Canis lupus familiaris: one gene and its partners. The protein of the gene in region 4 interacts with the protein of the main gene of each other region in a pairwise test. Links are inferred from orthologs where the notes say so. Each region holds a gene or a part of one and is shown on either strand. Other genes may lie near its edges.

Region 1 (5,579 bases), on a different chromosome or scaffold from region 4:
TGCTTTTCACAATTTCTCTTATGGGGGGTTCAAGCACTACTACACTAAACAATTTTTTTGTGGCATTGTCTTTATGTTGGAAATCGAATGGGGCATTGAGGTTTAATAAGCAAAGTAGCTTACAGGAGGTGCAAACTTTCAAGTCCAGTCTTAGAGAGAGAAGCAAGAAGGATTTTTCCCAGTGATTTCATAGTGTACAATGTTTCCATCGAGTAGACATTGTAGTAAATCCTAGATGGATGTTGGGAGACTGTCACATTCCTAAAGACTCAACACAGAATAACTCTTCAACTTTGTGTGAGTTTCTGAAATCATGTTATTTACTGTGAATCTGAAATTGGGGGGTGGGTAGGATCCCTTCCTACGTAAATCAGGTTTATTTGTTGAAGTCCATATCATAAGTTCTGCAATGGAAGATAGGTCCCTGGACCTAATGTGATAATATTGACTACGCATGTGCCATTTATTTTGATACAAACTATTTAATATCGATTAACCCATACACTCTTTTGCAAACCTTTAGGAAGAGAGGTGGGTGTAACTGATGAAAATATGAAAAAAGTTTGGAAACCTTAACAAGTTGTCCGTTTCTCATGCTTTTTCACTTTCCTCTTCTTTCTCAAAATATATTTCAGTTCTTCTTCTGCAGTTTCAGTTCGTGTTTCAGACACTTAAATGTCGACATTTGTGAGGACACTGCTTCTGGTTCAGTGAGGGCGTTCTTTTAGGGCTGTGACCCTGTGTATTTGTGAGCGGCGTTCTGGTCAGTAGGAACCACTTGGTACTACCTGGAATATATAGCATGAGCTACTTTGGCCCAAGCGCATCAGATCTAACGTGGCAGTTCCACGCAGAGGGGGTCACTCTTCTTAGATACCCTCCCCCAGCCTGGATTTGGGAGCAGCTGCCTTTTTTGCTTTCTGCCGCCAGCCCGTCCAAAGTAGAAATAACTGTATACCACTAATGCCCTGCCTCATTCCTACCTATCTGTATTTTTAGTCTTTCTATCTTTCATTACTAAATGACTGCTTTCCAACACCCAGGCCTGGCCTTATAGACTAGTATACAAGAGATGACAACTGGTCCTGGATCCAGGGTGGGGGCACAACTCTAGCTCACAGGACCTAGACGGGGAGGGAGAAAGCACAGTTTGGTGGAGTAGCATGAACAGTAGGGGGAAATTCAGGGGAAAAACTAAACTTGGCTAGGGGAGTAAACATTTATTGAGCATTTTCACTGAGCATCACACAGCGTTTCATTCATATTTAGTACGTGCAATGGTTATTACCTGTATGTTACACCTCTGTCACACTAAGGGATGGCAATTTCAAAAGCAAACTTTAAGCATCAGCTTAAATGTGTGTTATTCATGTAGCACATTTCATTAGGTCATGGAAGTGGTTATTTCCACATAACGTATAAATGTCTCAAGGGAACGAACGGTGGCCGTTCCTCAGAAATAGCAAGTGACAATGAGCTCTCCAAGGAATATTCTTTTCTAAGACTCAACTTCTGGGAGTTGAAATTCTGGACGGTTAAGATGACCTACCTGGAAGAGGCGGGCCAGTATCTCAGAGAATTTGACTTTTTGCCGCTGAAGTTTAAAGCAAGGTTCTCCTCTTGATTGGCTTCCATGAATTTGGTACTAGACTCCATGTGGCTTTGCTATTTATCCTTCTTATATTTAAAGGGGTTTCTTTACATTGTTCTCGGTGCCTGCTGTCCAGAGGACAGCTGTGGAGTTGATTTTGTATTTTTGATGTATGTCTTACAAAGTTGAACTGGGGGGAAATTGCGTAAGTACTTCCTGCCTCGTGAGACGTTCCGTTTTTTTTAATCAGAAAAAGTTATCTTTTTGGAAGGTTTTCACCTTCAACTGCTGAACAAAGTGTTGAGTATATAGCAGAAGGTATTCAACATTTGAGTTGCCAGAGGCCTTAAAGATTATGCACAATGACTTGTCCTTTTCAGAAAGGAGAACCTAATGCCCAGAAATATGGTTAAAATTTTTAGTACTTTTCTGAACAGAAACTAATGTGAGTAGATGGGAGGCAACCACAGAGTGGGAAAATGAGAAGGAAGATACTCCTTAGGGGCATCTCGGTGGCTGCCTTCAGCTCAAGTCATGATCCTGAGGTCCTGGGATCGAGTCCCGCATCGGGCTCCCCTCGAGGAACATGCTTCTTCCTCTGCAGTGTCTCTGCCTCTCTCTCTGTGTCTCTCATGAATAAATAAATAAATAAATAAATAAATAAATAAATAAATAAATAACATCTTTAAAAAAAATCCTTAATATCTGTTTTCTCATTTGCTTCTTTTTAGTGGCCACAGATGTCTTCAATTCCAAAAACCTGGCCGTGCAGGCACAAAAGAAGATCTTGGGGAAAATGGTGTCCAAATCCATCGCCACTACCCTCATCGACGACACAAGCAGCGAAGTGCTGGATGAACTCTACCGAGTGACCAAGGAGTACACCCAGAACAAGAAGGAGGCAGAGAAGATCATCAAGAACCTCATCAAGACAGTCATCAAGCTGGCCATTCTCTACAGGAATAACCAGTTCAACCAAGATGAGCTGGCGCTGATGGAGAAATTTAAGAAGAAAGTTCACCAGCTTGCCATGACCGTGGTCAGCTTCCACCAGGTGGAGTACACCTTTGACCGGAACGTGTTATCCCGGCTGCTGAATGAGTGCAGAGAGATGCTCCACCAAATCATCCAGCGCCACCTCACTGCCAAGTCACATGGACGAGTTAATAACGTCTTTGATCATTTTTCAGATTGTGATTTTTTAGCGGCCTTATATAACCCCTTCGGAAATTTTAAACCCCATTTACAAAAACTCTGTGATGGTGTCAACAAAATGTTGGATGAGGAGAACATATGATCCTGTGAATTCAGACTATGAGCGCTCGGGATTTCTTTGAAAACAGAGCACTGCTGATTTATGAAGGAAAAAAATGAATTTTTTTCAAGATTACCCACGTTTCAGAAAGACTTCTGCCCAGTTCAGTTGTTAGGCATTGTCTGTAACGTTTTATGCAGCTTGTTTTGTTTGAAGAAAAGCATATTGCCAAAAATTCTGATCAAACGCTCCCTCCCTTACAGTTAGCAGATCGCGGGAAAGGTATATGGTTGTGATGCAAATTTGGAGTTAGACAAAGAAAGATATGGATGACACCAAACCTCAAGATATGTTTTTTAGGTCATTTGATGTGTCAGTACATTGGGTATTTCTCTCGTGTGCAGAGTTTTGTACTTTGATTCACTCTTGCTCCTTACTATGTATGTGTGCCTGTGTTAAAAAAAGCTGAGAATTTTCTTTTGCTATCGTTGCTCCTTTTGAGACAATTTCAAGTCTACCTTTTTGTTAAATGTTCTTTTGCTAAAGATCTTATCATAGACATTTAAGAATTAAGTCTTCATTGAGAATTAAGACATTTAAGAATTGAGGCAAAGTGAACCGTCAAAAAACGGGAAACTGCTTCTCTGAAATCAGTATTGTAGGAACCAACTGTATCTGACATTGTAAATAATGTCTAAGATATGAATATGCTTCTGGAGTGGAGTCCTGTTTTTTAGTACCAACAGTGATACTTCCAAAACGTGATCATTCTTGAAAATATGCTGGTGGGGAGATCTCCATTTTTAGTATCCGTTTGGGATGTAAGAGACACAAAGAAAAATCTAGGTGATTCTTATAAAAGCCAGTGATGTTAAGAAAAGTACAACTGTCTTTATTTTAGAGATGAGCTCATCAAAATAATTTGGGGGGGGGGGGGTATGGGCCAAAAGGGAAAAAAAGCATATTGCTGTGGAACATGAGAATGAAAATAAATGCATTTCAATGTTTAATAAGGTTTGATAGGTGAATAAAGAATGTCACTTTTTTTTATTTAACTGATAAGGTTTTTGCTATTTTGTTATTTACAATTTTGATGAGTAAACCAAAGAATATTTGCATTCTAAGTACTTTGTGTGTTGTTTCTATGTAATTTTATGTTTGTGAATGATAAAGTAAACATCTTCTTTTATAAAAAGAAACAAAACCCCTGCCAGCCAGCTATCAGGAAATAGCAGACTTAACTACCAGCCCTAAATATTTGCATTGTCACTGTGTCTATGATTTAGTGTACTTGAATTTGCCTGCCTCCAAAAGATTGATATTACAATAAGGGCTCACCAGGAAATGTCCTAACTTAAAAATTCCAGAGGTTGTGATCTGCTTTAACCCACTCCAGCCTAAAGGAGGTGTCGGTTTCTCGGGGTCCCTGTGTGCTTGTCCAAGACAAGGAGCACAGTCAGAATGTCTCCTTGTTTGATATAAAATCCTCGACCCCCCAGATGCCAACTGAAATTACCATTTTCGTCTCCCAGAGCTGATGGGTGACTCTTCTATGTTGCAGCAATAGCACAGCTTCATGGTCTGCTATGTTGCTTATGAAGTTTAGTTCAGCAGCCTGGCCTGACCAGTTCTGCTTTCCCTACATGAGAGTGTGGTCTGCGGGAGCTACTGACTTGGTGCTTTTCTGTTCTATAACAGATCTCCTTCCGCAGAAGTATACAAAATGGATTCCCCAGCCAGTTGGTGGGTACTGCTTGCTCCTCTCTAGCTATGAACAGGACCAACTAGAGAGAGGGGTTGTAAGGATAAATTTTGATCCAGCTGGGCACATTTGGATCACACAGTTGTGCCTACAGGCTAACAATCAAACATGCATGAAGGGGAGAGAGAGCAACCCTTAAGCCCACACAAAAGGAAGGCAATGAGGACTATCTGGAAGGAGGGAGTCCTATTAGCTGATTTTTTAAAATCAAATTTTTAAAAACTTCATGCTGATGGCCTTTCTGCAAACATTATGAGTTAATGTAATAGGTGAGTGATAATACTGATGTTAACAGCTGACACAGAGTAGTAATTAGGTCACCAGACACATTAACTCACTTATTCCCTACCATGACCTTTACTGTTTTACAGATGAAGGAAGTAAGGCGAGAGAAGTTAAGGAATCTGCCCAAGATCACCTAGCTATTGTCAAAACCAGGATATCCGTAAAACCCTATTTTTCTTTAAATGTAGTATGGATAGGGGCACCTGGGTGGCTGGTTAAGTGTCTGCCTTCAGCTCAGGTCATGGTCTCAGGGTCATGGGATTGAGCCCCACAGGGCTTCCTGCTCAGCAGGAAGTCTGCTTCTCCCTCTCCCTCTCTGCCCACCCCCCCCCCCCCCCGTTGCATCCCCATCATGCTCTCTCAAATAAATAAATATAATCTTTAAATAAATAAATATGGTATAGATAAAGACCATTCTAGAAACAACATTGCTTCAGACAACAACGGGCAGTGTGCTTCTGAAATGATTTTTCACATGGTGACATTTGAGATGCTATTTAAATCATACAGGTTTGACCTATTCTCTAAAGATCTGGGTATGATTTTCATACAGAGACATCTCACAAACTTTTGAACATGGCTCCTAATTTGTAGCTATCTCATGGCTCAAATTTCAGACCCCTCCAGAATTTTAATGAGAGGTATTCACAACCAGCTATGATTCCCCAGGCTGGCTTTCCATAGGT
Region 2 (6,437 bases), on a different chromosome or scaffold from region 4:
GATGATCCCACTTATAAGGAGCAAAAATGGAACATCTCTATGTCAATAATATATTTTGAAGATTACACACCGGCAGAGAGAAGGGGAGAAAGGGACTATAAGAACAGAGTGGTCGAGAAGAACTCTTTACCCCTTAAGGTACAGGATTGATTTTATCATGTGCATATAGAACTTTTTCCATTTTTCCAGCATTGTTTATTTTAACAAGTATCCCCCTGCTGCCACTATGATCAGTAGGAGTCTGCAGCATATACCCCCGCCCTGTCTCTGCCATCCACTCTTCCAAATAAGGCTGGAATAATCTTCCCTTGCCTCACAAGCCAGGTGCCTCCATGTCTTTAACACTCAAAATCTTACTTTCCCCATTAAAAATCACCCAAATAACTTCACCTCACCCATCTCCTGAATTATACCAAGAATCCATCTTGCCCATGTTCCTGCTTCTGAATCTTTGAGCACCCTGCACATCCAGGCTACCCCACCGCATGCCAGGAGCCTATTACTCTTCCTGGACCCCGTTATATTCTAGGACCCCGTTCACAGTCAGGTAGTGTTTCCTTTGTGCACATTTCCTCTTATGTGCTGTGATCCATGGCCTCTCAGGAGGCTCCCTTTGGGCAGGCTTGAATTGGAAGTCGTTTTTTTTCACAGGCATGAGTTCATCATAATAGCTCTGCATTGTCAAGACCTTTACAACTAGACTCATTTTCATCTTGTAACGTTTTCTAGGAAATATGGATCTGCAGAGAATGGTGATTTTCATGGTAAGTGTTCCCTCATGTTTGTTTTCACAAGCTCACTTCGGAGATACACAGCATGATTTCCTCTTTCAGTACCAGCACGACAATAGATTTAGGTCCTGGCGCCACTGCAGAACTGTTTAAAAGAGAAATCTCACCCACCCTGGTTAGGAAAGGGATAATTTATTATTTTAATTGTGGGGATCTGACTTCATATCCACCCTCAAAAGTGTAGGAAAAGAATTCACTTTTAAAAATAAAGTCACAAAGCCTACACACCTTGGATGTAGATGCTTAAAACAGATGAGCAGAACATTTGATTTTCCTGGACACATTCAAGACTGTTCACCATGGGACATATACAAGGAGGAAGACATACATGTGTGGAGTGCTCTGTGGTTTGCAGTTTTCACACACATTTCATTTTATTTTCATATGCCAATGTTGTTAATAGGGTATGTCCTACAGCTTTTATTTACAGATAGAAAGATTAAGGCTCGGGAAAGTCAAGCGACTCAAAAAAGTTGCACAACTGGCTGTTAAGTGCTACAGTCCAAAGTGAGTTCCTCCCTTCCAAGTTCCGTGTCATTCTGCTACCCCTACAGTGTTCCTTTGGGCTTTTGTTTCCCAGATGTAAAAATGGTAGATTTTCAGTGTCCCAGGATGCTGTTCTTAACTGTCTGTGCTCTCAGGCAGGATCAGTTTTTCGCAGCCGGGAAACGTGAACACCACAGTGATACTTGACGTACTTCTTGCCCCTCCGGGCCTCATGAATTAAGGGGAAAGAAAAGCTACCTATTTGGGAATAGCGGGCCAGACCTTGCCACAAAGGTGTACGGGAGCCAGCCGACGACACACTGTCGCACTCTCTCGGGAGACCGAGAAACCTAGCGTCTCTTCTTTCTCTGCTCAGCAGTAGCCGGGGGGGTGGGGGGGAGATGGAGAGCGAGACAATAGTCTCTTGTTCAGTTTTATTAATTTTGAGAGAGGGTGGGACAAAAAGATCGGACCGACGACGCAAGTGACCAATCCCGACCGAATCCTGGACGGGGATTCGCCAATCCGGAGCAGCGAAAGAACGCCGGGTGAGACTTAACTCTTCACCGCCCGCCCCTCCCAGGCCGGCCCTCCCAGACCGCCCCGGAGGCGGAGACTCCGCGGAGCCCCGCCCACACCGTCCCCGCTGCCAACGCGGCCCGCCAAAGGGAAGGGGGGCGGGCATGCGGGGGTGGGGTGGGAACGGGGAGGCTACCGGCAGCAGAGGAAGAAAGAAGGGTGTCGCGCAAAGCTGCGACCTGGGTGGGGGCCTGCTGGTCATAGGAAGCAAGAAGGGAAGGAAAACAGAGGAGCGCTGCTCCTTCCTGCATTATTTTGAGCAAGCTTTGCGAGAAGCTGCTTTTCAGCATTTCTATTTGTGTTTCTTCCTCCCGCTGTGGGGCGGGGGGCTGCACGGGCTCTCCCACGCACCTCCCCTCCGCTGGTGTCGTAGATTATTGTTGGAGTCTTTGCAGAACCCTTTCTTTCCCCCCAGCCAGCGCTTCCGTAGCCTCTCAGGACCCAGTCAGCGCGTTGAGCCACGTTAGCGGGTGGACGAGAACTAGGACCCTTCGCATTCGCTGGAGTGGCTCGACCCCGCCGTTCAATTGTTTGAAACTTCCCCGCCCCCTGGCCCCGCCTCTCTTCCGCCCCCCGCCCCTCCAGGGTCCTGGACGGCTCCCTTCCTTCATTCCCCGCCCTCTACTCCGCCCCACTCTCCAGTCCACCCCCTCCCACTCCTCCCCCCCGCTCCTGGGCGGTCCTAGCCGCGCACCGCAAGAAGAAAAGCCACCCATTCGTCCTCCTCCCCTACCTCCCATCCTTTGCCCAGGAGCTGCCTTCATCGCAGTCACGCCCCTTCCTTCCGAGGAGCTTTCTGGCTGCCCAAGCTGGTAGACCCCCTGATTTATTATTCCTCCATCTCCTCTCTGTTCTGCCTTATCCTCTCTTAGTTCTCACCGCCCCCTCCAGCCCCCACCTCCAGCCTGTCTTGCGTCCGACCATCTGCTGCTCCACCCTCTGGCCCGGTATCCTGCCTGTCCACTGCCACCAAGGAGAGCCCGGACGGAGCAGTGAGGAGCGGAGCAGCCGGAGTTGGGGCTTCCCCCTGCCCATCCCTGGCCTCCGGCCCGGGACCGAAGCCACTTGAGCGAGCAGAGAGTCGTCACCTTGTCTTCGGTGCCTTCAGGGGTAGGAGAAGCATGGTTACTTTACGCGGGGAACTGGGGCAGGAATCCATGGTGGCATGAACTTGATCGTGCCCTCGGCGTGAGTGAGTTGATCTAGATGTGTGTGGTGATGCCCGTGTGTTCTACTTTCTTTGCAGCTGGCCGTTGAGTTTTCCAGGATGAGCAGCAACTTAAATCGGTTAAAGAGTGTGCGCTCCTCTCCCGTCCTACGGAGATGCTAGTGGGTACCACTACTTGATGGTACTTTTACTTCCTTGCTCCTGGGACCCTTGTAGGTCCCTAGGTGATTAAGCACAAAAAGGAATGAGGGAACTTCAGGTCTACATTTACTAAGGAGGAATGTGTGCGCTTATCTCAGATTGCAAGATGCGTTCCTCCCTAAATGCTTAGAGTTGGGGTGGGGGCCCACACTGCCCTCCGCCGGGGGCTGTGAATTCTTGAAGTCCTAAAGTCTGGGAGTAATCTACCATGCTACACTCCTTTTAGTCTGTGTGTGTGTGTGTGTGTACGTGTATGGTGGTGAGGACTGGATTGCCCAGTATCTGCTTTAGAGATGTTAGTAAGGACTTCTGCAGGATCATGCAGGTGTCTTGAGGGTCCCAAGCCCAGGTCACTGTACATTGGTGCGTTAGCAGCAGGATGGATCGATCAATATATGAAAACAAAGAAAAATGAGAGGGAAAGTGACAGTCTTTGTAGTCTGGTAAATTGCCACTAATAGTAGTTTAATAATCATCTGCAGCAAGGGACTAGATACAATTAAATGAGAGAGGAAAGGGGGCGTTTGTGAGAAACAGCATTAGCAATCTCTAGCATGTGTTTTAGAAAGAATCGTAGTTATGTCTAATGTAGCTCTCCTTCCTCCTTCCGTTTGCCACCCTTACGTTAAGAGTAGAAGTTGGGAGGCGTTTAAAACTTTTTTTGGGATCCCTGGGTGGCGCAGTGGTTTAGCGCCTGCCTTTGGCCCAGGGCGCGATCCTGGAGACCCAGGATCGAGTCCCATGTTGGGCTCCCGGTGCATGGAGCCTGCTTCTCCCTCTGCCTGTGTCTCTGCCCCTCTTTCTCTCTCTGTGTGTGTGACTATCATAAATAAATAAAAAAATTAAAAAAAAACTTTTTTGAATATAACCTTTTTCCATTCAGAGAGGAAGATAATTAGTCACCATAGTCTCCAATAATGGAGGGCTAAGGTTATTTAAGTCTCCTTGAACTAGGTTTTGTGAAAAGTCCTTTCGTGGGCCAGCCTTTGTGAAGCTTTCTTGGTTAGACCTTTCAGCACCTTCATTTAGGAGCTAACAATACTTTGAAATAGCATTTTGGATGCAGGATAAATTTTCACCCATCTCCCCCCACCTCTCTCCAGTCAGGCAAGCGTGGCAAACTTAGAAGGGTGGTGGTATTTAGAGACCTGTTACCAAGATGTCACCAACCCATTGCTTGTTTGGGAACAAATCATTCACTTTATTTTTAAATAGTTGTGTTGGTTGATTTTAACGGGGGGGAAAGCAAAGCAGGAAGGGAGAGAAAGAATGTTACAGGGCGACAATTTTAAAGGCTATCGTCTTTCAGATCAGCTGGGAGGGAAAAGTTGGCCTGACCAAACTACATTTTATAACTGGCCTGGGACATTTTAATAGCCAGGTGGTTGTAGAGTAGTTGCGTCTATTTACAGATGATAACTCAGGTTCCAGTTATTCTGTATGGGTTTATCCGGTGTCATTTACAGACACTTTCTGGCACTACATCATACTTCATTTTAAGATCCTTCTTTCTTTGGAAAACTCTGTGGCTCTGTAAAATTGAAAGTGCTTTTCCTAACTTCATAGTCTAGATAGGCAGTAAATCTCTGACCATGCTTGTTGTAGAGTCACTTTTAGGGTGAAAGTGGTGGATCTGTTTACCTACGTAACAGATTCTAGAAGGAAATTTTAAAATTCGCGTTCAATGCTATTTTGGATTTGGAGATTGGAAGGTCATTTCTGGTTTGTGAGATAGGAATTATTAGACAGATGCAAACCCAAGGCACTTTGTGGAGTTGCTTTTTCTGAGGCTTTATAAAGAGTGAATTACACTGTTTCTAGAATGCCCTTAAGAACAGTCTATTCAGAGCGCAGAGGGATGGATGCTATGACCTTGAGGTCCCATTGAGTGCCAGAATTCTAAGTGGGTACATCTGCTTCTGTGCCTCTCCTAAGAGCTCTCTCCCAGGGCCTGTGCCTTCTTTAAAAGGGTGTCTTTGTAATTAAGCAGCCTGTCTCCCCCATCCCCCTTTCTTCCTTTGATCCAGCTTTTTAAGGCCTTTTTTCCATTTGGAGACAAGAGGAGTTTCTCACACTCTCCTAGTCCCCTCTTAAGGTTTCTTTTCCTTTTTTCCCCCAAAGAGTCCCCCGAAGTTCTTGGGCTGGTTAGAAGTTGTTTTGTTTTGTTGGGGTGGAGGGAATGTTACCAGTGAGGAGAGGTAGAGGATATATTCCTTCTTGGGAAATGCTTGTGGCCAGGTAGCCTCCTCCATGGAGACTGAGCATTTGGAATGCATGAGAACAGTCTATTCTTAGGGACTATCTGGAAGAAATTGTCCTTTGCACCCATTAAGTGCAGCTAAAACCCACTGAAAGGGGTGGAGAGAGGTGTGTGTGGTCGTGGCCCAGCCTTTTAGGATGGTAAGTGGGTAAATGTTCCCAAATCTCCTATTACATCACCTCTTTCCTCCATGGATTCAGTGGGTTTGGAGATCTGCTTGACAGGTTAATTAGCTTGGGACTAAACCAATTTGTTCAGAATTGTGCTCTATTGATTTCCTGTCCCCAGGAATTTTTGTTGGTGGTTTTCTATGATGAGTTGTCTTTAGTCTTTCTTACTTTTTCGTTCCTTGCTGCCTTTTGTGGACTTCGGTCCAAAATCTAGGGTCCCACCCCCAAGTCAAAGGTTAGAACTTGGTCCCAGGAACTAGGAGGGTATGAAACAGGCTGTACATCCTGCACTGCTCTCCTCCACGGTGGGCTTCTGACCCCTTTTAACCCAGAGAAAGGAGGGAAGTTGCCCTTTCCACACACAGCACACAAAATCTGAACTAAAAAAAAAAAAGGAAAAGGAAAATAAGAGGTCATCTGCTTTATAAGAGAACCCACTGCAAGTTTCATTGAAAGAACTAGCTTTCCTAGTTAGTGCCTTTGAGCTATGACTTGATAATATAAAAATTCACTATGACTGGGTCTTCTCAGAAACATCTTTATTGCATAAAGGAAGACATTAGAATTTTGTTGTAATGATTATAGCTTGAACTAAGTGAGGCCATTATTTGGCCTTTGAAATCTTTTTGTTATATGGGATGGAGTAAATTGTCTAAATAATTTTGGCTTGTAATAATGCTGACCATGTTTAGCTCCAGCCTACAGCCACTTGTAGAAGGGAGCTAGTATGACTTTCTGAAAATAAATAAGACTTTTTAAAAATTTTTTATTTATTTATGATA
Region 3 (5,917 bases), on a different chromosome or scaffold from region 4:
TATCTCTAACCTGCTCTGTAAACTTGGGCAAGACCTTTCTCCTTTCTGTTCCTTAGTTTTCGTTTCTCTACAGTAAGATTTGGACTAGCCCAGGGTTGAAAACACAAATAAGCCAAGTTAGACAGGGGACCCTAGGAGGACAAGACATTGCCTACTTCATCCAAAGGGGTGATTGCCATCTGGTCCCACCATGCTGATAGCATATAATACTACAGGCTAAGTGTAGCCAGCCTTTTTTTTTTTTTCCCCCCCTCATTCTTTTTTCTCCTTTTTTCCCCTTTGTTATTATGCAGTTAAGTGAAATCTCTCTGGATTTTTAACAATTGGCAACTGAAGAAAAAAAAAAAAAAAACAATTGACAACTAATATGCTGGGAGCCAAACAAAACTCGTGTGGGTTTTGGCCTACGTGCTAGTGCTTTGCAGTCTCCACACTGATCTTTCGAGCCTCTTGGGTTTGACACTTCAGGAGCCTGGTGCTGTGCTATGTACAGGAGCCCTCCAGGGAGACAGAAGGAAGCCCCTTTGACTGAAGCACAGTGAGAGAAAGTTATTGGGGGCAGGGGACTAGTGTGTATGTTAAAGAATCAGAGTTAAGTGATATTATACCTGTGTCTTAGTCCTTAATTCCCCACCCTCTGTTTGTCATCCTAATGGAAAGGGTTTTTTTTGTTTGTTTTTGGTTTTATTTTGTTTTGTTTTTTAAGATTTTATTTATTTACTCATGAGAAACACAGAGAGAGAGGCAGAGACACAGGCAGAGGGAGAAGCAGGCACCATGCAGGGAGCCCGATGCGGGACTCGATCCAGGGGACTCCAGGATCACTCCCTGAGCCAAAGGCAGACGCTCAGCTGCTGAGCTGCTAAGCCACCCAGGCATCCCTGTTGTTTATTAATCTTGGGATCACATATCGGAAGATATATTTGTTTAAAAGTTCACTGTTTAGGAGGGAACAAATAAAGTTCACTCTTTGGCTACCACTGTTGACAAATGTTTAGTAGTTACCGAGGAAACCTATTCCTTTTTGCCTCCTTCCTCTTTCGAAAGGGCTTTCCTTGCATTGACACAGTAGCACTTAAATTGGCCATTGGGATGTCTTTTTTTTTCCTCCTGCTATTAGAGCAGGCAGGTTTTTTCTCCCACTCTCAGTGTTCACCATGGAGTCTCCACATAGACTCAGTTATTAGTCTATTAAGCATTTGTTGAGCATGTCGTCTGAGATGGGCACCAAAGACAATATGGAGCAGCACTGGGGCCACAGTAATAGGCTGAGTTCAGTTGGTGGTAACCCTCATGAACCACACGGTCTAATGGGATGACAGCCAGGTCAACAAACAGTATCAAATATGATAATGTAGGGCTGCCTCAAGGCCTGAGAGTGTGGGCCGAGGCCTGGGGAAATCCCCAGAGAAGGGGGTACATGATTTTGATCCCTGTGCTTTGCAGGGAAGGAGATCACGTTGCTGATGCAGACATTGAACACCCTGAGCACCCCAGAGGAGAAGCTGGCAGCTCTGTGCAAGAAGTATGCTGAACTGGTCAGTTCTCCCCCTTCTTCTTGCATCCGCCCTGCCTTGGAAAGTCAGCAGGCCACCTGGCATGGGGTTGAGGGTGCCGGGGCAGGTGGGTGGCTTAATTCCTATTCAGCCTCTCTCAGCCTTTTCTCCATCTGTTAAGTGGAGAGTCAAGTCCCAGCTGGCCCCTTCCATGTTGACTGTAAGAAGAAACCCTTCATATTACAGTGGTAAAACCATAGCTCCTGGCCCCAGTCCCACATACCATGTCATCTCACACCTGTGTGCCTCAGTGTGCATCTCCCCAAAAAATGCACAGTGCCATCCTCACATTTAAACTAACACTGATGTGATACTCTAATACGCATATTTCCCCATTTGTTTAAAATGTCAGTTTGATCAAATCAGGGTCTACAGGAGATCCATCTAATACTTTAGGTCCTTACAACTTTTTTTCCTTTTATTCCAAAATAGTCTTCATTTACTGCCAACCTTTTTCTCATGACATTGATTTACTGCAGATCAATCGCCCTGTGCCTCACTTCTTCGCTTTTGTGGTGACATTTAACTTCTTCCTTTACCTCCTTAGTTCCTGTAGATATAGGGGAAATTAACTCTAGAAGCTTGATCCAATCCAAGTTCAACTATTTTGATAAGAACTCTACATAAGTGGTACTCTGTAGAGAAAGTGTGTTCCTCCCACTTTTACTGATGGAAGATTGTCCACTGAGTTCAGGTGGGGCCAGCCAGGTTCCTCCCTTGTCAGGTTGCCATCAGAATTTGTATAAATGGATTAATCCACTGTGGGTCATTTCCTAACTACTTGTTTTTAAGTTCTTTCACTCCATTTTCATTTATTAGCTAGAATTCTCTAAGAAGTTTTTCTCATTTGTAAAATTGGGAAAAATCACACCTGCCTTGTGGGGTTGCTATAATGATTAAATAAAGGATAGGATATGAAAAAGATACCACCCCTTCAGAATGAGCCATCCAGGGAAAGATTGATGAAGAGAGCAGGAGCTGAGTGATGTTCTCAAGTAGAGAAGGAGCTAAGGGCCAGAGCATAAGGAGAAGGCTGGCTGTGTTGGGAAGCACCACTGGATCCTGGTAACCAGAGGAAAAGGCCGGTGCAGGTGGATGGGCAGAGGTGGAACTTATGCCCCTGTGCCTCTGGTTGCTTCCATTCTCAGGGAAATGAGAAAGATATTTTTTGCTGGGCCAAAGGAGAGCTGAGAAGGAGGAGGATGAAATAGTTCTCTGGAAGAGGAGTGTGACTAACATAAGGAATATGGTTAGGCCGCATGGCAGACGAGGGTCTTCCTCAAATGGGTAGTTAGGAATTAAAAGAGGTTCTTCTGCTTCAGTGCCTGTGCAGAGGAATCAGAGGTTGGGATATCAGGGTTGGGGTTTTGATAGGAAAAGGGGGCAAGAGAGTTGAGTGTAAGAAGTCTTAAGACAAGTATAAGAAGGTCAGTGATTATTTAAAGACACATTCAAGGAAAGTGAAAGGATAGTTGGGTCACTGGGTTGGAGGTCCAGTATGGTAGACTTTCTGGGGCCACAAATTTTGGATGGAATGAGCTAGAATGGTAGGGGATAGTGGTCCTGCCCTGGGATGAGATAATGGAGGGGTGTGTGCTTCTGGGTAATGACAAAATCTGGATCTGATGTCCAGGACAGTAACCATTAGCCAACTGAAATGTGGCTAGTCTAGATTTGGATGTGCTCTAAGTGTAAGATACAACTTAGGTTTCAAACACCTAAGGAAAGGGGAAGAAAAAATAATGTTCAATGACTTGAACAGTTGTCATTACATAGAGTTGCACTGTATCAGCGTTGACTAGGCTCATGGGAGGGTAGCTGATGTGGGGAAAAGACAGGGTCTGAGAAGGTTAAGATCTGTCCATAATGAAAAGGCCAAAATGATAACAGCAGTCATGTTGAGTGAAGTGGCGCTAAGTTTCAGAGCAGTGAAGAGGGAGTGACGGGGGTCTATTGAATACAAGGAGGAGTGGTAAGGGGTGTCATCTGAGGACATGAGTGTCACAAAGGTTGAAGGAATGTAATGGTCTGAGAGTCTTGAGAACTTCATCTCTAGAGTTAGAGTGGGGAGAGGCTGGGGTCTGCAGCCTCTGAATCCCTGCTTGTCGTAAGTGCCTGTTTCTGTATACTGGAGATGGAGCCCTTGGGTTTATCGGAGAAGTACATTAAGCACCCACACAGTGTCCAGCCAGAACTGTTAACAACTGGAGTCGGGAGAGGGCCGGGGTCCCTTGGGAAAAGCCCGACTAGGCACTTACTTGCCTTCCTGCTCCACAGCTGGAGGAGCATCGGAACTCCCAGAAGCAGATGAAGCTGCTGCAGAAGAAACAGAGCCAGCTGGTGCAGGAGAAGGACCACCTGCGTGGGGAGCACAGCAAGGCTGTCCTGGCCCGCAGTAAGCTAGAAAGCCTGTGCCGGGAGCTCCAACGCCACAACCGCTCCCTCAAGGTGGGCTGGCCCCTACGACTCTGGTTCCCTTGACTTCCACTTTTCCTTGGTGGGCTTTCCCCTTAAAAAGTAGCACGGAGGGATCCCTGGGTGGTGCAGCAGTTTAGCGCCTGCCTTTGGCCCAGGGCGTGATCCTGGAGACCCGGGATCAAATCCCACGTTGGGCTCCTAGTGCATGGAGCCTGCTTCTCCCTCTGCCTGTGTCTTTGCCTCTCTCTCTTTCTTTCTCTGCCTATCATAAATAAATAAATGAATGAATGAATGAATGAATGAATGAATGAATGAATAAATAAATAAATAAATAAATAAATAAATAAATAAAATCTTTAAAAAAAAAAAAAGGTAGCATGGGATTTTGGCAGAGAAATTGATTTCCCCAGTAACGCCCTGCCTTAGGGATAGCTGCCTGTAACCACTTGACCTGTCCCTGTGTCAGGTATGGTGAGGGAGCCCAGGAGGCAGGTCTTTGATATTGTTCAGTTCACTGGCAGTCTGCAGGTAAGTCAGGTTCCAGCGCTGGTGGACAGCTCCTCTCCCAGACTTAAGCAGTCTGAAATGCTGGGTCTTTTTTCTTTGTCCTGCTTCTCCTCAGGCAGGGTCCGTCTGGTAAAGCCCAGTCACTGCTGTGACCTCTGGGTGGTTTTTATATATGTATCCTTTATATATTTGTTACAAATTTGGGTCAGTGAATATATAGTGTTTTCCAGCTTGTTTTGTTCATTTTTAGTTTGTCTTTGACAACATTTTTACTGTAATATAAACTTGATATGAGAGATTCAGAGGTGACAAAAGTATGAGATTCAAAGGTAACAGTTGCTCACCCTCCTCAGCCCCAGTGTCCAGGAGAAACCACTGGGAAGTACACCTACTTACCCATAAGTTTAAGTACAGCCTTCAGACTTCCTGCATCCATATGTAATTTTCTATAGGGTTCTTTAAATGGAGAGGTCATGTGTATTGTTTCACATCCTGTTCTGTCCTCTCACCTAACATGTATAGCTCACTTTTCCTTTTTTTTTTTTTTTTTTTTTTTTTGAGGCTGTCTCATTCTTTTTTTTTTCCCCCTGAGATTTTACCTATTTATTCATGAGAGAGACCCAGAGAGAGGTAGTGATATAGGCATAGGGAGAAGCAGGCTCCTTGTAGGGAGCCCGATGGGGGACTCGATCCCAGGACCCTGGGATCATGACCTGAGCCAAAGGCAGACCCATCATTCTTTTCAATAGCGTTGTTGTATGCGTATTCTGTATTTTGTCAGTGCCCTAGTTAAGGAATTGCTGAGTTGTTTTTAAGTTTACAGTACTTCATACGTAGAGCTACAGTGAAAGTTCTTGTTATATATATTCTTGGGTAAGTGTATCTAGTTTGTCCCTAGGATAAACCTCAGAAGTTAAAGATCTGGGTCAAAGAGCATGCACGTTATATAAGTTTTAATAGACTTTGCCAGATTACCTCCCCACCAATATTGTCCTCGTGCCTAATTCTGCACAATCTTGCCAACCCTGGGAACTACTAAATTTTAACTAGTTGGTGAGAGGTGAGAAATGAAAGCACAAAACAAGACTGCTTAGCCTGAGTCTGGAAGAATGGACTTCAGGAGACCTAGATTGCTCTAGAATGACACTTAGGTGTATGCCTGCATTCTTCTAGGGAGAGAATATCTCCCTTGCTGTCACCTGATAGAAGGGTAGAGGGGTCCCCTGGGAACCCCCATTGGCATGGCATCTTGGAGCCTGGCTGGTGCTGCTCACTGAGAGTAGAGAGGGTTGTGGGTATAGAGCATTGTGGGCTGGGGAAGAGCAGCTGATGGAGCCAGGGCTGACTTCTCTGCCCAGGAAGAAGGCGTGCAGCGGGCCCGGGAGGAAGAGGAGAAGCGCAAGGAGGTGACCTCCCACTTCCAGGTGACACTGAAT
Region 4 (6,384 bases):
TGGAGTTTCTTGCTGTATGCTTCCATTCCACCTCTTACCAAAAGTTTGTAAACTTCTTTTTACTCCAAATCCCAAACTTTGCATTAGAAAGTGCTTGTATTTTAGACCAGAGGTTCCCAACCCCTTTTCGATGCATGAAGATATCTCTTTCTTTAAAAACAGAGACAGTAGTTCTGCAAAAGAAGACTGTCCACTTCGTGAACTATTAAATAAAGTTCATAAAAAATAAAAATAAAAAAATTAAGAGAGAAGACAGGATAAATAACCAGTGGCTAAGAGCACAGACCTTGGAGCCAGACTCTGTTCAGATCCCAGCTTTGGCGCTTATCAGCTGTATGATTTGGGGCAAGTCTCTGAATTCCTCTGCCTCCTCAGCTTCGTTATCTGTAACATAGAGATAATAACAATACTCACCTCCAGAAGGTGTTGTGAAAATTCATGGAGTTCATTTTTTTTAAGTGCTTAGACCAGTGTCTGGCATGTTAAATACGTAAAATTTCACAAGAAGGAAGTACTTACCCTTTTGAATCGATAGATTGGGAAACTACTAAATTCGGAGTTACCTTGAGTTATTTATTAACTATTAAAAATATATATGATATTCCTATCAGTTATAAAATAATTCGTATTTTCTTTATCACACCAGAATCTGCAGTTTGCCATAGAGTATGCCTGTAGGAAATGTTATTTCTTGTCAGTCTATGGACAACGTTCAATACGCATATGACTTTGTGATGAATCTGAAGAGGTCTGGCATTCACAAGACACATATACTGTCCATCTACTAACCCTCCATGCCTGCAAAGTAGGACCTATAATTGGTCATTTTTAAGTGATTAGGGTTTTAACTGATTGTATGTGGAAGCTACACTAATAGGATCTCCCCACTCCCTGCACCAGAATCATGCCCAAGATGAACCTATGAGAAGAAAACCAACACAGACTACAGTTGAGCCCCTCAGAAACTTAAGAAATCACTGACCAGAGCTGCTGGCAGGTATGCTTGGAATACAAGGGTCATTAGGAAGCTTAAATCTAATGTATTCCATTGTCTGAGAATGGACCATATTTAGAGAAGGGTTTAGCCAAGAGCAGAAGTAGGGAATGGTTGGAAAACAAAAGGTGTCCTCAGGTCTCTTGCATGGTCTGGGGACACAGATATTCCAATCTCTTTACTACAAACATCCGTATGCTATGTGGATACAAATCCTGATGGTTAAAAAAAAAAAAAAAAAAAATCCTGATGGTTGCATTTTTTTTTTAAAAATCTATATTCATTTGTTATAATCCAGGTTTACCAAGCCACATTCTGATGATAATTGGTCTTCCTGTATAAGTTTGTCCACAAGGAAAATTGTGCTTGGCACTAATATTTTTTATTGTAAATGAATAAATCAGCATTCTGGATTGTATAGCAGTTGCTATGAATGGTTTTGTTTTGTTTTCGCATGAGTCCCTGAGGAAATCCTCAAGTCTGGGTACCCAGCAGGAAGCAGGCTAAGCACCTCCAAGAGAACAGGCCAGAGGTCAGGATGACAGAATGAAGGAGACACTCCAAGCTGTTGTCTGTAGGTGACATCTCTCCATCTCATCTTTGAAAATCACAGCTTGGCCCCATACAGAACCCGCATCCCCAGTACTGTTGCAACTTTGGGTTTTCCTGATAGGGAGAGTTTCCAACTACATTGCTCTCTCCAGGAAAAGTGAGTTGAGGCGGAGTTTGGGCTTTCATTTGGAATCTGTGTTGTATTGATTATTTAAACCATTTTCATACACTACCTCTTACCTGCTATATTTACTCATTCACTTCCAACAGGCATCTTGATCAGTGAGCAAAACACTTTGTTGGGAGATAGATGGTTATAAAGATGGATTGTGAAGCCGTAGAAGCAACCCCAATGTGTGCGGATGAATGAATGGATAAGCACAATGCGATGGCTATACGTTAGGGAATATTGTCCGGCCTTAAAAAGGAGGGAAATTCTGACACGTGCTAACACAGGGATGGGAGTGGAGACATTACACTAAGTCAAATGACACAGTCCCCAAAAGACGAATATTGTATGATTTCATTTATATGAGGTCCCTAGAGTAGTCAAAATTTGGAGACAGAGGGTAGAACGGTGGCTGTCAGGGGCTGGGGCAGGAAGGAAGGGGGACTTGTTGTTCAGTGGACACAGTCCCAGTTCTGCAAGATGGAAAGAGGTAATGGATGATGGTGAAAGTAGCATAACCACATGACTATGCTTAAGGCCCCTGACCCTACACTTAGCCATGGTTAACACGGTCCGTTTTAGGTTATGTGTGTTTTACAACCATAAAGAAAAAGAGGCAGATGATGGCTCTTGTCCTATGGTGCTTACAACCCCTAGGAGAGGCCAAACAGGAGGGTGGGGCTAGCACTGTAGGGATGCACACTAAAGACGGTTAATACTGAGACCAGCCCATCTCACAAAGAAACTGATAGAAGGGGGCATCTGGGGAGCTCAGCGGTGGAGCACCTGCCTCCGGCCCAGGTCGTGACCCCGGGTCACGGGTTCGAGTCCCACATCGGGCTCCCTGCAGGCAGCCTGCTTCTCCCTCTGTAAATAAAATCCTAAAAAAAGAAAAAAGAAACTGATACAAGATGTAAGTTGTTATGCAAATTTCCCGACAGGCTTAAAACCCCTCCCATTGGTGCTTGAGCCCTGAGCGCCCCGAGCCTGCTCCCAGGGCTGCACAGCGCCGCCGCCCGCAGTGCACCGCCAGGCACGTAGGGGGCGCTGCGGCCCCGCCTCTGCTCCGCGCCCCCCCCGCCCCGCCTCGGTGGCCCTCACTTCCGCTTCCGGAGCCCGCCTCCGCGCGCCGGGGTCTGCGCAGTCTCCGGCTTCCGGCCCGCGAGCAGCATGGCGGCGGCCTCGGGTGGGGAGAAGGAGAAGGAGCGGCCGGGGGGCGGCGCGGGCGCGGCGGGCGGGAACAGCACGCGGGAGCGGCTGCTGTCTGCGCTGGAGGACCTGGAGGTCTTGTCGAGGTAGGGGCGTCGGGCGGGCGGCCTGGCTGGAGTCGGGGAGGCGGCGCTCCGGAGACCGCGGCGGGGTCGTGGCCTCGAGGTCGCAGCCCCACGAGACCCGGACGCGGCCTCTTCCCCCCGCACAGCCCCCGGGGGACGCTTGATAGCGGCGGTGACCCCGGGACCCTGACACTGGGAGATGGGGGGAGGGGGGACCTGGGGGGGCGCTCGGTGACCTGCAGGGACACCCGGGACCTGACACTGGGAGATGGGGGAGGGGGGACGTGGGGGGGCGCTCGGTACCTGCAGGGACACTCCGGGACCTGACACTCGGTGATGGGGGAGGGGGGACCTGGGGGAGCGCTCAGTGACCTGCAGGGACACCCCGGGACCCCGGCACTGGGAGATGGGGGGAGGGGGGACCTGGGAGGGCGCTCGGTACCTGCAGGGACACCCGGGACCTGACACTCGGAGATGGGGGGACTGGGGATCTGGGGGGGCGCTCGGTACCTGCAGGGACACTCCGGGACCTGACACTCGGTGATGGGGGAGGGGGGACCTGGGGGGCGCTCGGTGACCTGCAGGGACACCCCGGACCCCGGCACTCAGAGATAGCTGTCACCTATTTCCATGACTGTGTCCCAGCGGCTAGGACCTAGTCAAAGCAGATGCCATCCTTTGTCTACAGAAGCCACTTAACTTGATTTCCATTCTACTCCTCTTAAAATCCATTTTCCAGGTAGCTTAGCAATTGCTTAAAAACATAAATCAGGTCATGTCATTTCCATTTAAAATGATGCATCAGTGGGGCGCCTGGGTTGCTCAGTCAGTGGGGCGTCCACCTTGGGCTCAGGTGGGTGCAGGGTCCTGGATTGAGCCCTGAATCCGCTCCTTCCTCTGCCTCCCCCTCCTTCATTTTTTTTTTCTCTCTCAAAATAAAAAAATCTTTTTAAAAAAGTTAAAATGATCCAGTCGCTTTCCATTGTACCTGGAATGAAATGCTGATTCTTTACCATGACCTGTGAGGCCCTCACACAGCCTGGCCCGCCTGCCCTCCAGACCCGTCCTCATTGTGTATCCTGCTCCTCGGTACTGACTGCTGTGTCCTGGCCACCCTTCCTCAAACCCATCTTTGGGCCCCTGAACCCGGCTTTTCTCACTTATAGAAGCCCTCCCTGACTCCACCAGTGTGAGTGGCCAGACAACTCACTGACACACTCTAACACTGCTTCAGTTTCTTCCCAGCCCTTCTTCTAACTCTGGTTTGATTTACCTGCTTTCTTGGTTTTTCTCTTCTGTATTATAATTTAAATTCCTTTGTTCACTTTCATAAGCTAGGCATCCAGAAAGTGCCTGGCACACAGTGGAAACTTAAATGTTTAATCAGTGGGTGAATGAAGACTTTCCATTGCCATATCCACTTTATTCATTAATTAGCTAGCTAGTGCATGCATAATGGTATGAGAACCTCAAAGTGGGGAAGGTTGGGTCCAGTTGGCACCATCCAGAAAAATAGTTTGAGGCTGGCAGTAAGGAAGATGGAAATATGAAGGTGAAAATAGTCTGGCGGCCAGTGAGAAGGTACAGGCTTTACTGGGGCTGACTGGTGGTGTCCTGTTGCTAATTGTGCATCTGTACCTCTTGCATAATTTCTGGAGTCCCATCTGTCAGCAAGTTTGAAACTAGTGTATCAGGATATTACCTGATACATATTTTATACTCCTCTTTATACTAGTTTTCATAAAGGAAAATTGGCATGTCTAGTAAATAAGCATTCCAGAAAGATAGGACTTTATTATACATTAGAATCCCTTAGTTGATACCTGTTTGGTTAATTAAAAATTTCAGTTCACATAGAAAATCATTTAAAAAATGATTCATCTACTCCTTAATTTAGGGGGTTTTCTTGCATAAACCACCCATAATGCCTTGTCCACCAATTTCTAGTGTGTTTCGTTAAAGTGAAATGAGGGGTGCCTGACTGGCTCAGGCAGTAGAGTATGCGACTTGATCTATGGGTTGTGAATTTGAGCCCCACCTTGGGCATAGAGATTACTTTAAAAAAAAAAAAAGTAAATAAACTTAAATGCTTATCAAGCAGTCTTAGGGTAGACTTGCTGAATTTTCATGACTTTGCAGTTCTTTGCAGGCAGCTGTTGAGTCTTTCCCAAGTATTCAGTTTAGGTTTTTATGGAAATTACTCTTTTCTGTTGACAGTCATATTTCGTTGGTATTTATGAAATGGATATTTAATATATTTAACTATACTAGTAAAGTAAAACTTGCATAACTGGATCTGGTAACAGACATAACTGAGTCTTGGTGAGAGAGTACCGCTTAGCTGATGAGAGCCCAAGCGCACGGTCACTGGGCAGGGGCTCTGAATACTCAGCATGCTGTGGGTGCCATGAATCTAGCAAGTCAGTTAGGTAGAGATCAGTTAATAAAGCTTCTGTTGTATTTTGCAAAGATGTTTTTGTTTTTCTTTTTTAGAGAACTTATAGAAATGCTGGCAATTTCAAGAAACCAAAAGTTGTTGCCGCCTGATGAGGAAAACCAGGTAAGTGGTTTCTTTTTATATTACAAACAAGAAATCCCCATTATTTGTGCAATTTCCCTATTTACATTTACTTTGTGTGAGAACAGGAAGATTGGATTCTGTTAAATTATAGATTACAATTTTTAAATTGATACTTCGAATCACTTACATAGGGTAACACTGCTTGAGAAGAAAAAAGTCTAAAGGTTTAGCAGTATTGTTTTTTCTTCTAGTTACACATTTATTCGTTTTTGTCTTTTGAATTAACCAACTAATAAACTTGTTAAATGGAGGTTAAAACAATATTTGAAATAAAAAAAGTTAATGCTGTCATAAACTACCTTTTATTATATAGACCTGGTTCCCCTAATGCAACTTGAGAAGTAATAGAAATTAAAGAGCATACAACTGTTAACAGAAGTTATTTTGTGGAGGTTAAATTTACATGTTTTTATTTTCTTTATTCCTTTCTGTGCTTTGTAATTTTCTACGGTGAGCAGATTTTTTTTTCTGATCCAAAACCTTTTTTAAATTAATTAATTTGTATTATTTATTTACTCATGAGAGACACAGGCAGAGGGAGAAGTAGGTCCTCTGTGGGGAGCCCGATGTGGGACTCGATCCCAGGACCCCGGGATCACAGCCTGAGCTGAAGGCAGACACTCAGCCACTAAGCCACCCAGGAATGATCCAAAAACTTTTTAAAGTTAAGAGGGCAAATGTCATTTTATGTGTTTTCTACTGTAATTTAAAAAAAAAAAAAAAAAGTTTTTTTAAAAGAAAACAGCTGGGAAAGATTAACCTTTTTAGTAACAGGAGACATCTCATAGATCTCTTCTCCCTCCTCTCTGCCCTA
Region 5 (6,359 bases), on a different chromosome or scaffold from region 4:
CAGATGGGGATAATGAGGCACAGAGAGGCAAAGTAATTTTCCCAAGGTCACACTCCAGTAAGTGGCAGAGCTGGGTCTGCCAGCTTTTGGTTATAGCCACTCCACTACATGTCCCCTTTGTCCCACCCCGTGAGTCCTATGTTGGTAGAAGCCTCAGCCTTGGACTTATTTGAGTCCTGAATACTTTTGACTTTCCCACCCTCCTGGCTACTAAATTCAGCTGCTTTTTCCTCTTCAGGATCTTGCACACACCCTTCCTCTTTCTTCCTGCTATCTTCCTGGCTGCCTCTCCGACTTCCCTTCCAGAAAGCCGCAGGAGTATTGTCTCCTCCGGTCCCTGTCTCTCGGACTTAGCTGATCTCCTTAACAGTCTTCTCCCTCAAATGTGGAATCCACCTTTAATGCCCATCTCACTTTTCCAGGAGCTTGGTATGCAGGTGGAACCTGGTTCTCTCCCTCTTTGCCCCGTTAGGCCAGCTGGTCTTTGGGGTTGGCATGTGTCCAGCTCTGTGTCAAGCAACCTGGAGAAAAGGGCATCTGGCTGTTCCCCCAGCCTCCCTCTGTTCCACACTGGTCCATCTTCGTTCCTCAGTGGAGCTGGCCCTCGTATTTGGATTAGCTTTCTCCTCGTCCTTTGGCCCACAGTCCAGTAGCACTGTACCCAGAAGTGTCCTCTGAGCTGTCTTCCTCAGTCAGGGAAGGCAGAGAGCACGACTCCCTAGCCAGTAAGCCTGGCATCCATCCAGGGCTCAGCTCCGTGAACTTTGGTCACCAGATCTTCTGCTACCCATCCCTGCACTCTGACTTCTTTTGCCTCTCCATGCTTCAATCATTCCTGGCCCTGTCGACCCAGCAAGCTCAGATCTCTCCTATTCTACACACCACATCCTCTCAATTCAGCCTCCCCTCCTTATCCTGGCCAAACTTCCCCACAGAGAAGGAAGCATTGGCTTCCTTTCACCCTACCCACCTCTTGGGCCTACTCAGCTCTCTCCTCTGCCCGGCTCCATTAATGTGCTCGCTCCCTTTCAGAGCCTCCAGGACTTTCTTCTAGTTTGACCTCTCCACGGCATTGTTCACTGGGAACTGACCATCCTCTCCTTCCTACTTGCCATCCAGTCAGAGGTGCAGAGGACTCTGCACCTGCCTAGTGTTGTTGCCACCTATGACTGTCCTCCCAACGTTCCTTACCACCCAGAGTGAGCTCTATCCTTGGTTACTTTTGGTGATTATATCCTTGTCTGTGGCATTGGGACCCTCCCCGCTCTGAGTCTCCAGACCTGTTCTTTTCCAAGCTTCAGTTCTTTTCCAAGCGTTCAGGGAACGCTTATTTCAGGGCATTCACCTATCAAGGCATTGCCAGGGGTTTGGTGTGGGTGTTGTTCCAGCTCCAGGCTGGTTGGTATAGGGCTGCACAGATGAATGTGCACGCACACGCACCTGCCATGGAGAGCCATAGAGAGTCGGGGGGATTGGACACTGTTCGAATAGGTAATCTCTACTGTCTGGTGGAAAGCAATCTGCAACCCAGGTAGCACCATTAGGAAGTTCTTGGGTGCCTCAAAGTCCATTTTAAAGCCAAAAGCAAATTCCACATTGCCTCTCTGAGCTGACTTGGCTGCTTCTGTTAATAGCATCACTGTCTGAGTCTGGGACTGTAGCTTGGTACTTAAATGCCCTCACAGCTGCTTTACACATGATAGGTGTTCAATAAAGATGTGTGTAAGGAATACTTAAAGTCTGTTCTCTTCATCTGCTCAGTTCATGAGAAACCTACGCAGCTTGCTTTCTTTCTTTCTTTTTTTAAATATTTGTTTCATTATTTTAGAGAGCACAAGCAAGAGGGGCAGAGGGAGAGGGAAAGAGAATCTCAAGCAGGCTCTGTGCTGAGCATAGGGCCCCATGCGGGGTTTGGTCTCATGACCCTGAGATCATGACACAACCAAGAGTCAGAGGCTTAACCCACCACACGAGGCAGGGGTGTTCTATCCAGGCCGGTGCTCCCCACCCCCAACTTCATTCTCCCATACCACCTGGTGCCTCCCTGCATCCTGTTCTGATTGTGAAGGTTTGTTGAAGTGCTTACCTCCCTCCTGACAGGGAGCTTTGAGGCCCTATCTCTCCTGATCAAAGAGGACCCCTGGCAGGTGCCTGGCACAAAATAGACACTGGATAAATAATTATTAAATGAAGAAGCAATGAATCTTTGTATCTTACTGCCTGCCAAGTTGTAGGCACAGAGTGAAGGCTAGTTGAATAGAATGAGTGGACTTTAAGAGAATTTGATCTATATAAGCCACTGTGTCACTGGCCACAGTCAGGCCCCGTCTGATTAGAGTTGCTGTCGACCTGTGCGTCCTGTGTGTGGGGCTGTGACCTGGCGCATCTTCAGGCTGCCAGGCTTCCAGCCGAGGGGCTGAGATGGGAGGTCTCCGCAGGGTGCAGCTGACACACCGGGTGGTCTCTTCACCCACTTCTGAGCTTCCCTACTTGGGAAAAAGCCCCCTGAAATGGTGAGGGGCTGTGTTGGATCGCGCAAGGCCAAGGATCGCTGCGGGGGGGGGCGGGGGGCTGCCGCTGCGGGTATAGTGACCCTGTTGCAGGCGGCGGGCTCCCTCCGAGCTGCCACCCAGGTGTCGTCGGTCGCCGGCTCAGCCTCGCCTCCCCGTTCTGTCCGCAGGCCGCCCGGCGCCCCGAGGAGGCCGCTGAGCCCCGGGCCATGGTCCCGTCTCGCCGGCCGTGGAACCTGGGAGCCACGCCCTCGCTGCGCGGCCTGTGGAGAGTGGGCCGGGCCCGCGCGCCCGAGCCGGGGATGGCTCGCCCCGCCCCCGCCGGCCCGGCCGCCCGCCCTTTCCCATACACCGGCCCGGGGAGGTTGAGAACTGGTGAGTCCGCATTTTTAAAATGCCTCTTTATTTCCCTTCCTTCCTCCAGATAGCAGCGATGGGGCCGGGCTCTCTCGCAAGTTCCTAGGCTCGGTCAGGGCTGTCAGGTAATTACAGGGTGCCGGCAGCCCGCGGGCCGGCCGAGTGGGAGTCGGGGCGCCAATCTCGCCGGCGCTCCTGCCCGGCGCTCCTGCCCGGCGTCCTGCCCGGCGTCCTGCCCGGCGTCCTGCCCGGTGCTCCTGCCCCGCGACCTGCCCCGCGTCCTGCCCGGTGCTCCTGCCCCGCGACCTGCCCCGCGCTCCTGCCCCGCGTCCTGCCCGGTGCTCCTGCCCCGCGCTCCTGCCCCGCGCTCCTGCCCGGCGTCCTGCCCCGCGCTCCTGCCCGGCGTCCTGCCCCGCGACCTGCCCGGCGTCCTGCCCCGCGACCTGCCCGGCGTCCTGCCCCGCGCTCCTGCCCCGCGCTTCTGCCCCGAGTCCTGCCCCGCGACCTGCCCGGCGTCCCGCCCCGCGCTCCTGCCCGGCGTCCTGCCCCGCGCTCTTGCCCCGCGCTCCTGCCCCGCGCTCCTGCCCGGCGTCCTGCCCCGCGCTCTTGCCCCGCGCTCCTGCCCCGCGCTCCTGCCTGGCGTCCTGCCCCGCGCTCTTGCCCCGCGCTCCTGCCCCGCGCTCCTGCTGGTGGAGAGACGTCCCGGGCGCCGAGTTAGACCCCGGCGCGGCCGCCGAGCGGGGGGCGGGCGGGGGCGCGTCCTTGGTCCCCCGCCCAGCTCGCAGTCTCGCTCCGGTTTGTGCCCGCAGCTGGTAAACAAGGTAGGTGAAGTGGCTGCCCCGGTGCCCCGTGCGGCGCGGACACCTGATCGCGGCGGGTCAGACCGCTGGGGGCGCGAGGAGGAGCCGCGGCGCCGGCAGAGTGTGGGTGCCCTGAGCCGGGTTTCAGGTGCTATGTGGGGCGGCTCCCGCAGGGTGGCCCACAGCAGGTGGGGGCAGTGAAGGAGCCCACCTGGGATGCTGTCAACACCAGCTCTCCTTTCTGGGTCGCGTCCCCTGGTGCCTCACAGGCCAATAAGTGAGCGGCACCTCTGATTTGCCTGTGGGCTGGGTTGTCGTTGGGTCTGGGCAGTTGCCCCACGACTGCCTCCTGAGGTGAGCTTGGGCAAATCTATCTGGAAGTGTGGAGGGAGAGAGGGTCTTCAGTCCAGATGTCATCAGACGCTTGCTGTCTGTTGTTCCTGACCTAGAGAAAGAGGTTTAGATTACCAGCCTGTCTGAGCTAGCAGAGTTCCTCTGGCTATCAGATCCAAGCCCCCCTGGTACACAGAAGGGGAAACTGAGGCCTAGAAAGGGTACACAGCAGACTCCTGTTCCGTCTCCTCTCCCACCACATTTGTGCCACTGGTGGGCACCAGAGTGATACCCTCCAAAGTGTCTCTGCAGGGGACAGTGAGGCTGGGGATGGCACTGGGGGCCTCTGGGAAAAGCATAGGCTTTTGGGTCAGGTAGCCTGAGTCATCTGGAGGGGGATGAAGACGGTCTCTACTCCACATGGTTGTCCTAAGGATTACATATGTAATATGAATGAGTATTACTTTTCTGGTTAAACAAAAAAAACAAGACAAAGAAAAAAAAAACAAGCAGAAGACAAAATATGTTCCCTTGGAAAACTAGAAAAAATAAAAAAATAAAACCCAGAAAAGTATAAAAAAGAAAATAAAAATCACCTATAAGCTTGTTAGTGAACATCTTATGTAGTTCCTTCCGATCTTGTATATGTGGGCATGCATATTGGTCTATTAAATGAGTATCATGAAGATTATATGACCATACAGGCTTATCTGCTTTTAAAATTTAAGACAAAGGTCAAATGAAATCGTGTGAAATGCTAAGCAGAGTGCCTAACAGTGAGTAGGGCTTCAGCCAGCTTGTCACTCCTAGCCCCTCAGCCCCCACCCCGACTCTTGCCTCTGTCTTGGGAGGTATAGGCAGAGGGTGAGTTAGCCCATGGGATTGCAGGACTGGCTCAGTGTGACCCTGGGCACGGTTTTAACCCTCCCCGGTCGTGGTCCTAATGGCCTGCACTTATGGCCAGTTTCTGTGTGCCTGGTGGAGAGTGAGCATTTTAGGTGTGTCATTCCATGTAACCCTCAGCACAGTACTATGAGCTTGGTTCCTTATCCCCATGTTATTGATAAAGGAAACTGAGGAACAGGCAGGGCAGTAAGCACTTGGCCGGCTGCTGGCACTCAGGATACTGTCACACCCCCATGAGGCTGTACTCATTCCCATCCCATGCTACCCTGCAGGCTGTGGTGGGGGTTGAAGTGGGTGCATGGGATGTCCATACCATGATCACCTCTCTCCCCTGTCCAGTGAGGGAGGCAGTGGGTCAGAGGCTCGAGGGGATGCACTTTAGCTGGTGCTGAATATGCTTTTGGAGGCTGCTGGGACCAGGCCACCCAGCATGGCGTTGGTCTTTATGAAGTCAGGGGAGAAATTGCCACCTAGAGGCGGCCTTGGTAATAAAGCCACAGCCCTGGGGTGCTCCTCCTGTGAAGTTTAGTGCAGCCAGGTTGGCATCGGCTTCCCTTTGCTACTCTCTGGAGAGGGAGTTCATGAGCAAGTGTCAGCCCAAAAGCCACTGTGGAGGGTGGGGAACACATGTACCCCAGAAGCTTCCGGTGCCTTCCCAAAGGGAAGCTCGGGGTGGCTTTTGGGAAGAAGGGAGCACAGCTCCTGCCTGGTGCCAGGCCTTCCCTCCGAGTAGGTCAGGCATGTGAGGGCGTGTGAGTCCCTCCTGGCCGCGCCCGGGCTGGCCCAGCATGTGGGGAAGCGGAGCTTTGCCACGGCCCTAGTCAGTGGTCCTGGCCACCAGCCTTCAGCCAGGGGCCTAGCATCTTACCTGCATTCTCTGTCCTGGAACAGGGCGTGGAAAAGACACCCCGATCAGCAGTGACGAGGACTCCGGAGCCCGAAGTGCAGCTCGCCCAGCCCTAGCTCAGTGTCGAGCCCTCAGTGTGGACTGGGCCGGCCCTGGGAGCCCCCACAGGCTCTACCTGACCGTACAGGTAAGCACTGGGGCCTTCAGAAAGGTGAGGGGCCGAGCCAGGCCGGTGCACCTTACTTAGCCCTCTGAGCTGCTGCAGCTGGGTCACTGGCAGGCTCTCTGGGGAAGGAGCACGGAGAGAGAGCCGGGGACCTGCCTTGTGCCTCTTTGCTAAGCTCCTCATGGCACATCTGCCCTGAGCCTGTGTGGATGGAGCAATTTGCTTTATTAGGTTATCTCCGGGAAAATCTCACAGGAGATGACAGAGACTTTTCAGCCACACCCTGGCTGAGGTGTTAAAGTCAGAAATGTGGGACCTTCACTGAGAGGCTATTAGGAAAACAGGTTTGGGGTAGCTGTTAATCCCCACTCACACTCAAGCATGTTTGTCCATGGGGCAATATTTGTATTTCCTATTTAATGTGGGAATCCAAAGCTAGA

What was found.
Region 1: the proteins of MED4 (region 4) and TNFAIP8 interact in binary tests that used the Homo sapiens proteins (3 or more experiments, as listed by UniProt). The two-hybrid records come from large-scale screens. The link is inferred for Canis lupus familiaris from reciprocal best matches to the Homo sapiens genes MED4 and TNFAIP8.
Region 2: the proteins of MED4 (region 4) and AMOT interact in binary tests that used the Homo sapiens proteins (3 or more experiments, as listed by UniProt). The two-hybrid records come from large-scale screens. The link is inferred for Canis lupus familiaris from reciprocal best matches to the Homo sapiens genes MED4 and AMOT.
Region 3: the proteins of MED4 (region 4) and TXLNA interact in binary tests that used the Homo sapiens proteins (3 or more experiments, as listed by UniProt). The two-hybrid records come from large-scale screens. The link is inferred for Canis lupus familiaris from reciprocal best matches to the Homo sapiens genes MED4 and TXLNA.
Region 5: the proteins of MED4 (region 4) and KIFC3 interact in binary tests that used the Homo sapiens proteins (3 or more experiments, as listed by UniProt). The two-hybrid records come from large-scale screens. The link is inferred for Canis lupus familiaris from reciprocal best matches to the Homo sapiens genes MED4 and KIFC3.

The regions. Positions count from the first base shown.
Region 1 is NC_049232.1:8,953,237-8,958,815, forward strand, and holds the end of TNFAIP8 (tumor necrosis factor alpha-induced protein 8), read left to right. Parts: intron 1-2,322; coding exon 2,323-2,888; 3' UTR 2,889-3,970; downstream 3,971-5,579. UniProt on the Homo sapiens protein: Acts as a negative mediator of apoptosis and may play a role in tumor progression.
Region 2 is NC_049260.1:86,470,227-86,476,663, reverse strand, and holds the start of AMOT (angiomotin), read left to right. Parts: upstream 1-2,547; 5' UTR 2,548-2,966; intron 2,967-6,437.
Region 3 is NC_049223.1:68,412,799-68,418,715, reverse strand, and holds part of TXLNA (alpha-taxilin), read left to right. Parts: intron 1-1,446; coding exon 1,447-1,538; intron 1,539-3,833; coding exon 3,834-4,004; intron 4,005-5,839; coding exon 5,840-5,917. UniProt on the Homo sapiens protein: May be involved in intracellular vesicle traffic and potentially in calcium-dependent exocytosis in neuroendocrine cells.
Region 4 is NC_049243.1:3,360,426-3,366,809, forward strand, and holds the start of MED4 (mediator of RNA polymerase II transcription subunit 4), read left to right. Parts: upstream 1-2,857; 5' UTR 2,858-2,885; coding exon 2,886-3,010; intron 3,011-5,482; coding exon 5,483-5,549; intron 5,550-6,384. UniProt on the Homo sapiens protein: Component of the Mediator complex, a coactivator involved in the regulated transcription of nearly all RNA polymerase II-dependent genes.
Region 5 is NC_049223.1:57,968,216-57,974,574, forward strand, and holds the start of KIFC3 (kinesin-like protein KIFC3), read left to right. Parts: upstream 1-2,704; 5' UTR 2,705-2,719; coding exon 2,720-2,885; intron 2,886-2,934; exon of another isoform or gene 2,935-2,992; intron 2,993-3,569; exon of another isoform or gene 3,570-3,688; intron 3,689-5,797; coding exon 5,798-5,940; intron 5,941-6,359. UniProt on the Homo sapiens protein: Minus-end microtubule-dependent motor protein. Involved in apically targeted transport. Required for zonula adherens maintenance.